3 linked regions of the Xenopus tropicalis genome follow. The protein of the gene in region 2 binds, or shares a complex with, the protein of the main gene of each other region. Links are inferred from orthologs where the notes say so. Each region holds a gene or a part of one and is shown on either strand. Other genes may lie near its edges.

Region 1 (4,102 bases), on a different chromosome or scaffold from region 2:
TGCCCCCCTAGTACATTGGTGCCCAGCAGCAGTGCCCCCCTAGTACATTGGTGCCCAGCAGCAGTGCCCCCCTAGTACATTGGTGCCCAGCAGCAGTGCCCCCCTAGTACATTGGTGCCCAGCAGCAGTGCCCCCCTAGTACATTGGTGCCCAGCAGCAGTGCCCCCCTAGTACATTGGTGCCCAGCAGCAGTGCCCCCATAAGTCAGTGTGCCCCGTGGCCCCCCCTAATACATTGGTGCCCAGCAGCATTTTACTCTTCGGCGGCTTCAGCAGCATCTTCCCCTCACGCGCGCCGCCTCTGCACTTCTGCCTACACGCGACCGCACACAGGCCCTTTTATAACGTTGCGCCCCGTGCGTACTGACGTCACCCGTACACACGGGGCGCAACCAATGACAGGGCCCGGATTTTTTTTTTAAAGTAAAAATTGCGGCCCTGCCTACGGCACACCAGGCAACATCTCGCGGCACAAACAGTGGTTGAAAAACGCTGATCTAGAATGCTGAATGGAGTCTATTGCTGATGGTAAATCGGTATTTTATTTTGGTACATTCTAAATTAGTATAACTGAAGCAATAAACAAAAAACTAAGCGTAAGCAGACAAAGGATACTGACAAAATCATCAAAGCCAAGAAGTGTTCCAACAATTTCTTTATCACTCTTCATAACAATATGAATGCGAGATCCTATGCACTTGTCCACAAGCTCTGCAAGATCAGAAATAAAAAAAAAATTAAGAATACACTTTAAAATAAGGCAAAAATAAAGTAAAAATACATGTTAAAATACAAAAAATAATTTTACATTGTGTATATATTAATTAGGTTTGAAAGTAAAACTTGAACAATCAAAGGTTTCTAAATTGTGGTGGTAAATACTTATCGCCTGTCAAATATTTTTTGAACTTCAGACTAAAAGCACATTTTAGTATAAAAATGTATTTGAATGTACTTGGATCTTAAGCTGCATAACTGAAAGGAAAGAGGGCGACTAAACCTAAGTCTGAAAACCACTGATTTAAACCTTCAGGAATAAAAAAAAAAAAAAAGAAAAAAAGCATAGTTTTGTTTGGTAGTTTGCAGTAGAAAGATGTATTTAGCCATTTTTGCCTTAATAAAAATATGTACTTTCGGAAAATATACGGTTTTCGAGGGGCTCCGTATTGTTAGGACGTCTTATGGTACATAATACACATACCGGGTGCTTCTATTGCAGCAGCCAGTATCAGAGATGAACATTTCTATTTCATCTCGGACACTTGGGGGCTGATTTACTAACCCACGAATCCAAATGGGAAAAATTCCGATTGGAAAACGAACATTTTGCAACTTTTTCGTATTTTTTGCGATTTTTTCGTCGCCGTTACGACTTTTTCGTAAATTGTCGCAACTTTTTCGTAGCCGTTACGACTTGCGCAAATTGTCATGACTTTTTCGTAGCCGTTACGATTTGCTCGTATCTTGTCGCGACTTTTTCGTATTGAGCGCTCGTAAACTGCGGGCAAAACTTTCAGACTTAGCATGATTTTGGAAGCCTCCCATAGGACTCTGCAGCTCCAACCTGGCCCAAGAAAAGTCACGATACTGAAGCTTGAATGAATCCGAAACTTTCGTACTCGGCGCGAAGGCTACGAAAAAGTTGTGACAATTCGCGCAAGTCGTAACGCAACGAAAAAGTCACAACAATTTGCGAAACAGTCGTAACGGCTACGAAAAAGTCGCGACAATTTACGAAAAAAATCGCAAAATACAGACCATTACGAAAAAAACGCATTCGGACACTTTCGGACCGTTCGTGGATTAGTAAATCAGCCCCTTGGAGTCATTTAGAGTAGAAAGACACGGTTATCTATTTCGGATTTGGTTGAATGTGCACTTTTAAAAAATATAAATGGTATCCTGGGGTAAACCTAATGTTTCAGGATTTTTGGCTATGGAATCTAAAGTATGCCCTATTCTGCTGTAACACTTTTTTCAATAACTTACTGCTGGGAGTTTTCGATCTATAGAAGTCAGACATCTCCATAAAATTATACATACCTAGTATAGGCACATTCAAGAGATATTAGGCTTTCTGAATAAGTTGAAATTTTATCCATAAAATAAAAGATTTTTCTGGTATAAATCCCTATAATCATATTTTTTTTTTTTTCTTTTATTTGCCTTTAGAGCTCTAAATCTTGTTCCAGAAGTGGAAATACACAAAAACTCAGATTTAGAGCTCAGGTTCTCAAGAAAAGAATGATGTACAGTTTTCCTAGGTAAACTAAAAATCAACTAGAAAATAATTCTGTTCTTTTTTTATCTGCTTACAATTAAAAGGTTCAGTATAAAATATAAATTGTCTAACGCAGGGCTGCCATGCGGCTCCATCATTTGCCCGATAACCTAAAGCACGTCACCTAGCAGGTGCTGTTTAACCCAAGCAACAGTGCTAACTCCAGGTACACTACATCTGTACTTCACAACCCTAGTAAGCCACATACATATCAGAATTCTACAACAAATATGAGTTCAAAGAAAGCATGTCGCATGAAATAGGACAGCGCCATTGAAGATAAAAGCCAATTAGTAACTGCACACTAAAGGTCTCGAACTGGAATAGATCTAGTCACATATTTCCTAGAGTCCTTACCGAGCGGGAGAAGCTGCGACGGATTGGGAGTCACGGTAGCCGCCATCTTTGATATTCCTTACTTCGGATTTCCTCCTGTTTTCGTAATCTCCCGCTGTCACCTACCTAGAGCAATCGATTGCCGATCTCATTATGCAGTCGAGCGCAAGCGCTAAAAACTTCCTGGTTAGGGAAGATTAATCAACAGACGAGCAGAAAAAGGCCTTATATGGCGGAAGAGAGCGAACAGGGGACGTGGGCGTGGCTAGAAGAATGTTTCAAAGCAATGATTGCAAAAGTTGTTGTTGCGCCAGAATAATGAATGTTCAAAAAATCGGCTTGGCTTCATTGCGATTGCTAATTGGCCGGGTATTTTGTCAGATGTAGAATAACCAGCAGCTCTGGACTCTGTACAGCATATTAACCATCCACTTCAACCACTCACGTTTAGGTAAATTAATAGGAGCCCCGATCAATACAGAACAAATTACGGGGGCCCAGGTGCCAACTTAGACGAGTACATTCGAAGTATAGAACTTTTTCAGATGTTTTTGTATGTAGCAGGTGCTCAGCTTGAATCAGCTCTTAGGAGGCATGAAAGTACCTCTGGCCTGTGTTTTGTTTAACTAAAAGGGGAAAGGATTGCAGTCACTTCTGTACCTAAACATTAGCATTTATAGGGGATATACTTTATCCAGAAAATTATATATTTCTGTTTTAATTTTTTGTAGGGTAGTGTTCAATTACAAAACTCATAAATATTGTTTTATCTTAGAGGACAAGAATTTGTAAGCCACCCCTTGATACTGTACTTTAGAGGCATTATGCTGCTTGCCTGCCCTCCAAGGTGTTGAACAACTGCACAGTTTGCTTGGTTCCTGCACATTACATGAGCATAGTGTTGAGGGCCATAGATGATTGATATTAGTCACCTTTTTTTTAACTACTTGTATTTAAACTTTAAAAATTCAGCATGATTCATTCAAAGTCTCTGCTGCTACAAAAAAGTTTAGTTTTTGTAACTGTCATTAAAACTTCTACCTAATTTCAAGATTTCTGCATGTAGAGTGACAGTGTGTCATTTGCTTACTAAAACTCAATGTTTTGAAACCTAACATTCTGAAATTTCCAGAACCAGTTCCCAACTTCCTGCTAAGATCACTTAGAAACCTTCTGTTTACCTAAGCCTTCATTTAGTTTTTCTCAACTGCTGCCTTTTTTAAGCTTTGAGATAAAGAGCAAATAATTATGTCAAGGGCTTACCTGTGGATTGGTAATCACGTGGGTCAAAATATAATGACTGATACAAAAACGTGAGGTAGTAACTTTTGCCATCCAACACCACGTCTGTCGGAAGGGAATGCTGCATGCTGCTCCTGCAGCCACAAGGATAAAAACTGATGGTGTTGGAAAGACTTCTTTTTCTCTCAATGTAATACATTGACTGTCAGATGTAAGTGCATGAACAAAATAAAAATCCAACTTT
Region 2 (3,500 bases):
CTTGAACTGCAAGAGTACCTATTTTAGGCTGCTAAAACATGTTTTTCAGCCAGCAGGGAAGTACCAAAACATGCCTGTGCAGCGAGTCATTTAGGTAAATTAGTTCAGCTAATAGGAGAATATTCACCGTGTGCCACAGGTATAATGTTTAGGCGAAACAATTCCAAGTAACACCGAGACTCAAAAATTAAAAAGTGACTATGCGACAACAGGCCCACTTAACAGATCACTCAATATAACTAAACATCGGGTACACTAGTTAAAACAATGGGTCAAAATATGTCCCAAAAATATGCAGAGCTGGAACCCACCTGAAAAAGGCTTAAGCTGCAAGAGAGAAATCTCACAAAGACTTACATTTCCAAAACAAAATGTCAATGCTGGCTTTGTTATCCAGTTAATAAAAATTGGACAAGGGTCTCAATACTTTTGCAAGGCACTGTGCTGACCTTATTCAGAGACAAATTTACATTTGGTTAGTATAATGTATCCAAGAACAGATTGTAGCAATTTGCTTGTGATTGTGTTTTAACATGTGCCAAAAGTATTTGTTTCATCTTCTCTGAGAGTATTTCGCCAGCTGTCTGTGCTGCACTTTTACATTTCAAATTTACAGATCAGTTCAGTTAAAGGAATGGGACTATCACAAGCTTGCAGATATCATTCCAACTTTTCCGTAACAAAATATCCTTCAAAACAACACATGCATTTCTACTAAATTCTTTCAGTGTTTCAGTTTTTGGGAAAGGGAAAGTAAACCCTCAGAATTTTTACTTTGCCCATCTGTTTCACAGTTCCTTCACTGAATCACCAATTCAAGACAAAATGAAGATCAATGCCACAGGCTATGGAAAAGAACAAATAACAGAACCTAGTACAATATTGTTAACACCTGGGTGTTGCAAAACAATTCTGTGTGCGTCCAGAACCATGGAAATATACATACACAGATTTACCTGTGTGTTAAGTGCTATATTCCTTTCTCCAAGCATAACATGATACAAAACAAGATGCTGTAATGCTTTCTTCAAAAAAAACACATTCAGCATGCGGCTTCTCCACTCTCATGTGGGATTAGCAATGTATAAGATTCCTGATTTCAAAACAGCATGTGGTTTACAAGTGCAAGTATTAGGTGATTTTATGTATTATAGAATATTAATGCTCCCTTTAAATAAAAATTAATAATTACTACAGATTAGTTATGCAGGCATAGGATCTATTATATTAAATGCTTGTCGAACTTGGGGTTTTCAGGAAAAGGTTTGCACTATTAAAAATGTGACTTATTTTGAAGAAAGCACAACATTTTTTTTTTTTTTTTAAATACCTGAAGTTTCTTTTATTTGGGCTTCTGGGGATAGTAAAGGCATGTATAAAGTAGGGACTGGTAGCATTTTATTTACAAAACATATAAAAGATGGCTGAAAACATTGCAATCAATTAATATTTCAGCTGGCAGAGGAATGCCCATTGGCCACCACATGCTTCACCCCTGACACTTTCTTGCACATTTTTCAGAGGATTGCACTGCATCTAACTAAGCCAAGAACTGCACTTGGGACATGGAAGTCAGACACAGGAGTGATCAGGAGAGAGCAATTTTGAAGAACAGGAAAAGACAATTGCTAATTACACAAATGGTGCACTGCACTAAGGGGAATAAGTAATAGTGGCACTTTGCTATTTTACTTGCATATATTGATATAAAAGTAGGTACTGCAACTAAATGACAGGCAAATTTAGGAAACCAAACCCTGTAAGTAGTACTGAATCTTGTAAGCCAAACAAGCAATCTAAGCTGTACTAAGAGGATGGTGATTGGAAGTGCAACATATACCACTGTTGAAAAAAAATAGAAAAGTAGTCTCAATCAGTGGTGCTGATTAACCCAGTGTAAGTTGTAGTTTTTATTTATTATTATTATAGTGGACACCTTGCTATCAAAGAAAGTTCTCCCAAGTTAAATAAAACATACCCGTGAAGTACAAATAACTTCTCTTAGATTGATGTTCATCCAGTTGTCACAGCTCACTAAATGACCGTTGTATGTTTCACCATTCTTTAATTCCACCAACTGAAAATCGAAAAAGCAGTGTCAAATGAGTAATTAATCACACAATCACATTAAGTATAAAATTGAACCAGGATGTAATTGGTTTCACTTTAACAACAATCGTGGTACACCAAAAGCATGATACATATTAGCCTATCATATTTCTTATAACGGTGTAAAGTGTGTTTGTGTATGTGCATGTATACACACATACACATCTGAATAATACTCAAACTGATAGGTGATTCAACAGATTTATTTTATAGTTTTATAGTATTTAAGGTGTAATACTCTTTCTGTAAGCCCTAAAAGAAGATAAACTGAGGCATATGTATCCCTGCTTTATTTTATATATATATATATATATATATATATATATATATATATATATATATATATATATATATATATACACACACACACACACCTCACGAAAATTGTAAAACTCAAATCTATTTAGTCAAATCCGCTCAGTTAAGTGAAAATCAAATAAGACTGTCTGGATGAGAGGTGTCTCCTCAACTGAAAGCATGTGCATGTCCCAAGCAATTATTAAATTAAAAGACACCAACATTTGCAAACTTCAAATTGGCTGACTCCATCAGATGACTGTGATTGTTAGATTTTCTTGTTTCGTGTTGGCTGTATCTATGGTTGGTTGGGATTTAATCCCAATAATCCCAAATCTAATTGGTACATTCTTTAGCAAGATAAAAGCACATATTTTTTTCACCGATTCCTGTCAAAGTCATTTACGTTTTACACTGCAGTGTACCTGCATTTGGGACCCACTGCCATATAAAATAAAACAGCCGCTTAGTGAAAAAACATCTCTGTTGTACTTAGTAACGATGTTTCATATGGTGTGGCAGATATAACAATTTTTGTTCCTTCACGTGGTGACTGTTTAGTTAAGGATCTGTGCTCTTTCCTGCAATAACTAGAAATGTACTATGAAAAGAAGAATGCAAAGTGTTTTAAATTAAAGTATGTCTCTTACATGCAAAGAAAATGTACATAATATAGTTCCATAATAAAGGTACTTGGCAAAATTCAGTTACAACCCATTAACTTACCATTGGGTGATTCTGAGCAGTTTTTAACAATGATAACGGCAACTGAAAAACAAAGAGTATTCAGTAAACATTGTAGCCCACATATAAAAGTGCATTGTATCTTTTTTGTTGCTTTTGTTTTTAGAAACATATTTACATATTTTAGTAACACAGCATTTTCTGGTGTTTGTCAGATGACGTACAGTGGCAGAAATGATTCTCCACATATCATATCTTTTTCAGAAGCAGTCTCCTTAGACTTCAATGGAAATACATAATCATTTGTAACAGCGCAGATAAAATTAAGACTCTGGAATATCCAAAGTAATAAACAATGGCAGCTACCAGAGTACTGTGTTTTAGATGGTCAATGCAACCATCTATTGTCT
Region 3 (4,091 bases), about 11 Mb from region 2:
ATTTATATACAAAGTTCCTGCTAGCACTGCTGGACAATAATTTTGAGAACCAGAATAAAAGGTGTTCCCCTTAAAATAAGAATCACTCCCTTTACATTTCCCTATGCATTGGCTATACATTAAGATTTTTTATTTGAATAAAAATATTTAAAATGAAAAATGCACTTGGTTTATTAAAATTACCTAGAGCTGGAGGAGGATCCACACATACATTTTAAGCCCTACACACACAACAAATTGTGGCGCACACAAAAAAAGTATGTGAACACACTGGGGCAGATTTATCAAAGTCTGAATGGGTACGATTACAAAAAATTTGTATTTTTTCTAATTTATAGAACTTTGTGTATTTTCCACAATATTTTTGTTAATTTCCGCAACTTTTTTGTGCTTTGAATAAATTTGTGAGACAAAATCGAAATTATCGCAACGACTACAAAAGTTTTGAAATTCATTCAAGCTGCAGAGTGCCATTGAGTCCTGTGGGAGGCTTCCAAAATCATGCATTGAAGGTTCAAAGTCAGAAAGTTTTTTGCGCCGGATTGTTTCGTTCGGATACGAAAATTTCGTAACTTTTGGATTGTACCATTTATTTAGATGAAGGTTTACTGAAGATGAAGCAGGGTTTTAAAAAATCCTGGAAGACTGATAAAAGATGGCGGCACTTACAGGGAATGTACTCCAGGCTGGAGGAGCACTGGCTTGGGTTTGAAAGTTAGTAATTATACTTACTAGGAGTGGGTGCCTAATATGTGAGAAACTTGCCAACCAATGGCAGTGTATGGCAGGCTACCAGGGGAAGCAATGCACAAAAGTAAAAAGAGTGAGGGTGGTTGGGGAAGGAACATCAGCCCTGCTGCCTAAGGAGGAAGCAACCCCTGCAGCACCTCTCTCCATTTTCTATTGCACAAAATAAAGGATAGTATCTTTTGCTGCAAAGAAATGCACAGATGAAAAAATGTAGGTCTTTACCTTAGAAGACCTAAAGTTGAAAAATCAGAGACAAGTCAGGAACATCCAGCTGCATTAATTAAAATGCAATCACTTTGCAAATAAACAGCCCTAACAATTTGGATTTATTAAAAATGTGCATATTTTTCATGTGATCTGATAACAATAGTGGGAATTTACAAAACTGGAGCAATTAGCAGTTAGAAAGGTTTCATTTAGACATAAAAGGTTGAATATGTTCTGAATATGTTCCAACCTAAGTTACTAACTTATCTCTGAAATTGTAGCACACAGCAACTATTCTGGAAGTAATTCAAGTACTTAAGCTACAGCATAACTGCCACGTCTTGCATACTGTAGCATACTGTATACAGACAAAATGTAGATTGCAGGTTTGATTTTCCTGTTGAATCAAGGACTACATCTGTGATTGCTGTAGTCCTAGTTACTTGCCTGCATAGAGACAATTTTGATACAATCAGCCCAATTTTGCCCACCTTAAGGTCCATATCAGTGAAAGACACACTCATTCAGCGACCTTGTCAAACAAGTGAATCTTATAACGTATGGCAAAGCTTTAGTAGCAGTACTTTGTAGTAATAATTGTTTTAAGAATGCATGGCAAAGTAGAATTCTTTAGAAATTCACATTTAGAAAGCATACCTTCTCTTCCACCCTGAAACTTTACTCGAATTGCCTTGTCTATGTATTTGGAGAGGTCTAGAATGCTTTCCTTTTTCTTTTTCTCTTTGTCCTGGGGAAAAACAATCAAATATGTTTATACATTTAGAGCTGCTAAGAGCAATACTAGGCTATATAGTAAGAGGATTTGAGAAAATATGGCTCCAAAAGTTTTAAAGCTCAGATAAGGTTAAAGAAAACTATACCCCCAGAATGAATACTTAATAAAAAACAAATATAATCTTTTGGTTATGTTAAGTGACCTATTAAAGAATCTCGCAAAACTGGAATATATCTGTAAATATTGGCCTTTTATATCTTTTCCCTTGAGCCACCATTTAGTGATGGGCTGTGTGCTCCCTCAGAGATCACATGACCAGAAATAATGCAGCTCTAACAGGGAAAGGTTTGGAAGCAAAAGACAAAACTATGTCCATTCATTGGCTGATGTGACCTAGCATGTGTGTGTGTGTGTGTCTCTGCATTTTTTGTACACTGTGAATCCTATGCAATCCTTAATTCTTAAAATGGCTATCTTCTACTTAGGAGTACCCAATAGCACAATCTGCTTAAAAAAAAAAAAAAAAAAGTATATTTTTATGAAAATGGTTTTAGATAAAGCAGAGTTTTACATTTCAGCTTGTTCATGCAATATATTTTATAGAGACCTACAATGTATGGGGGGTATTGTCTTCATTTAAGAGGGGGGGGGAAAGGAGCACCATTCAAACAATTGTTTTGATCAGTTTGTCATTAGATCTGTATCATGACTCTCCTAGGGCTCCTTGCCTCTCCTTCCCTGGAACTACATTTAATTCGGATATAATTAAGAGTTGTTTACTGACCACTTTATATACAACACTTTGGATAACCCAGCTCATAAAAAGAAGAAACACACGGCTGCGAATATACCTCATCGCATGAGTACTTTGCCGCGTGCGCGGCGTCTTAAGTGGATGTGATAGGACGCATAATTACGGTTCCTCTTAATCACCTCCCACTGTTTTACAGTCTTTAGCAATATGTTCTAATCATGGGTACCCGCTACGCAATAAAAAGAAAAAACGTTCCATAATCCACTATATATGACTGACCAACTCTACCGGACGAAAGCTCACTAAATTCTACACACTCACCGCCATCTTCCCGCGCCTCTGTTCCTAGGGGCAGGCGTACCCATTTTAATCAGCTCTGGGGGCACCTGTACACCTAATTATGATTAATTTTTTTGCTCCTCCTAACTTCTCTCTTCCATCCTTATGAAGTACTAGACTAAACTAGTTAAGCACGTTAAAAGTTTTCTTAAGAAAGTGCTTCGCTATGTATTTTTTATTTTCACTGAGGAATTTCATTCACACCCCCTACGACTTTAACTGGTTTGGAAGAGTCTACTTTTTTTTCTCTTTTTTTTTAAATAGCTTTATTGACTGCCCTCGACAATTATAATGTCGCCGTGACTAGGTGTATAACCCTAATTTAATAAATAGTTGTGAATGGTAACTTATTTTCTGTCTACAAATCGCAAAATTATATGATGGATTAAGTCATTTTGAATTACCCACACTCTGTAAAAAATATTATGCCTGTGGGGCGGGCGTTTTTTTTTTTTTTCACCCTTTCACTTTTTTCTGGAATCACTTTTCCATAAACAAATATGGCGTGTAGCGTGCGTAGTTACGTCACATCCTGTAGTCATCTACCATTTTCATTACAGCTTTCTATTGAACTGCTCTACTATGGGGCTTGGCCTTTGGGACCTGTCACTAATACATTGCGAATGGGAGGATAACCTGAAGACTTGGATGTAGTGCGCAGGCCCAGGAGATGGCGCTGAGTAACAGTTAACAAATGGTGCTTGGCGGTTTGAGTGTTGCTTTGCTAAGGCTCGTGACCTGGAAAAATGAAGCTTCTTTTGATTTTCCTGTTATGGGGTTTGTTTGTAACAGAGGTGAGTGATATTCAATTACATTTTCATAATGCAGAACATCATTTTTACGCGTTTTATTTACCTTATTTTCGCCATTGCCACCTGTATATTGAAGGTGCTGCTGTTTTTCGAAAATTCACTTTAATTTTTTTATACCTTCTGAAAGCCCCGCCCATCCATGATTTTCCACCTTGTTCCGAATTCCTGACTTTTTCTGTGTACACACGCTTTGCTGATCCCCAGAAGCTTCCTATACGCAGTATTTAAATATTTAACTGGAGTTTGCTGTCACGGGCTTCCTAGTGACAGTCATTAAATTCGTATAGATTGTTGAATAAATATTTCCTGCTACGAATTGACCTGATTGAGCCAGTATTGATATCTGAGATATAGGGTCTGTTGTAGGCCCTACTTTGTGTTCTTCTGTCTGAAGAATATGAATACTTCCAAGTGATGGTGGGCAAGAAATGTAGTACAATTAACTCTGAAAATGTGTTATGATATAGCAGACCATGATTTATGACTTGTTAAA

Evidence for each region.
Region 1: lsm4 (region 2) and lsm5 share a complex: the UniProt entries of both Homo sapiens proteins name them as parts of the precatalytic spliceosome. The link is inferred for Xenopus tropicalis from reciprocal best matches to the Homo sapiens genes LSM4 and LSM5.
Region 3: lsm4 (region 2) and lsm7 share a complex: the UniProt entries of both Homo sapiens proteins name them as parts of the precatalytic spliceosome. The link is inferred for Xenopus tropicalis from reciprocal best matches to the Homo sapiens genes LSM4 and LSM7.

What each region holds. Positions count from the first base shown.
Region 1 is NC_030682.2:61,893,525-61,897,626, forward strand, and holds the start of lsm5 (U6 snRNA-associated Sm-like protein LSm5), read right to left. Parts: upstream 2,801-4,102; 5' UTR 2,684-2,800; coding exon 2,638-2,683; intron 711-2,637; coding exon 615-710; intron 1-614. UniProt on the Homo sapiens protein: Plays a role in pre-mRNA splicing as component of the U4/U6-U5 tri-snRNP complex that is involved in spliceosome assembly, and as component of the precatalytic spliceosome (spliceosome B complex).
Region 2 is NC_030677.2:103,369,242-103,372,741, reverse strand, and holds part of lsm4 (U6 snRNA-associated Sm-like protein LSm4), read right to left. Parts: intron 3,175-3,500; coding exon 3,133-3,174; intron 2,078-3,132; coding exon 1,979-2,077; intron 1-1,978. UniProt on the Homo sapiens protein: Plays a role in pre-mRNA splicing as component of the U4/U6-U5 tri-snRNP complex that is involved in spliceosome assembly, and as component of the precatalytic spliceosome (spliceosome B complex).
Region 3 is NC_030677.2:92,742,502-92,746,592, forward strand, and holds the start of lsm7 (U6 snRNA-associated Sm-like protein LSm7), read right to left. Parts: upstream 2,801-4,091; 5' UTR 2,775-2,800; coding exon 2,769-2,774; intron 2,565-2,768; exon of another isoform or gene 2,550-2,564; coding exon of another isoform or gene 2,478-2,549; intron 1,706-2,477; coding exon 1,615-1,705; intron 1-1,614. Other genes in the region: sppl2b (signal peptide peptidase-like 2B), read left to right, coding at 3,533-3,580. UniProt on the Homo sapiens protein: Plays a role in pre-mRNA splicing as component of the U4/U6-U5 tri-snRNP complex that is involved in spliceosome assembly, and as component of the precatalytic spliceosome (spliceosome B complex).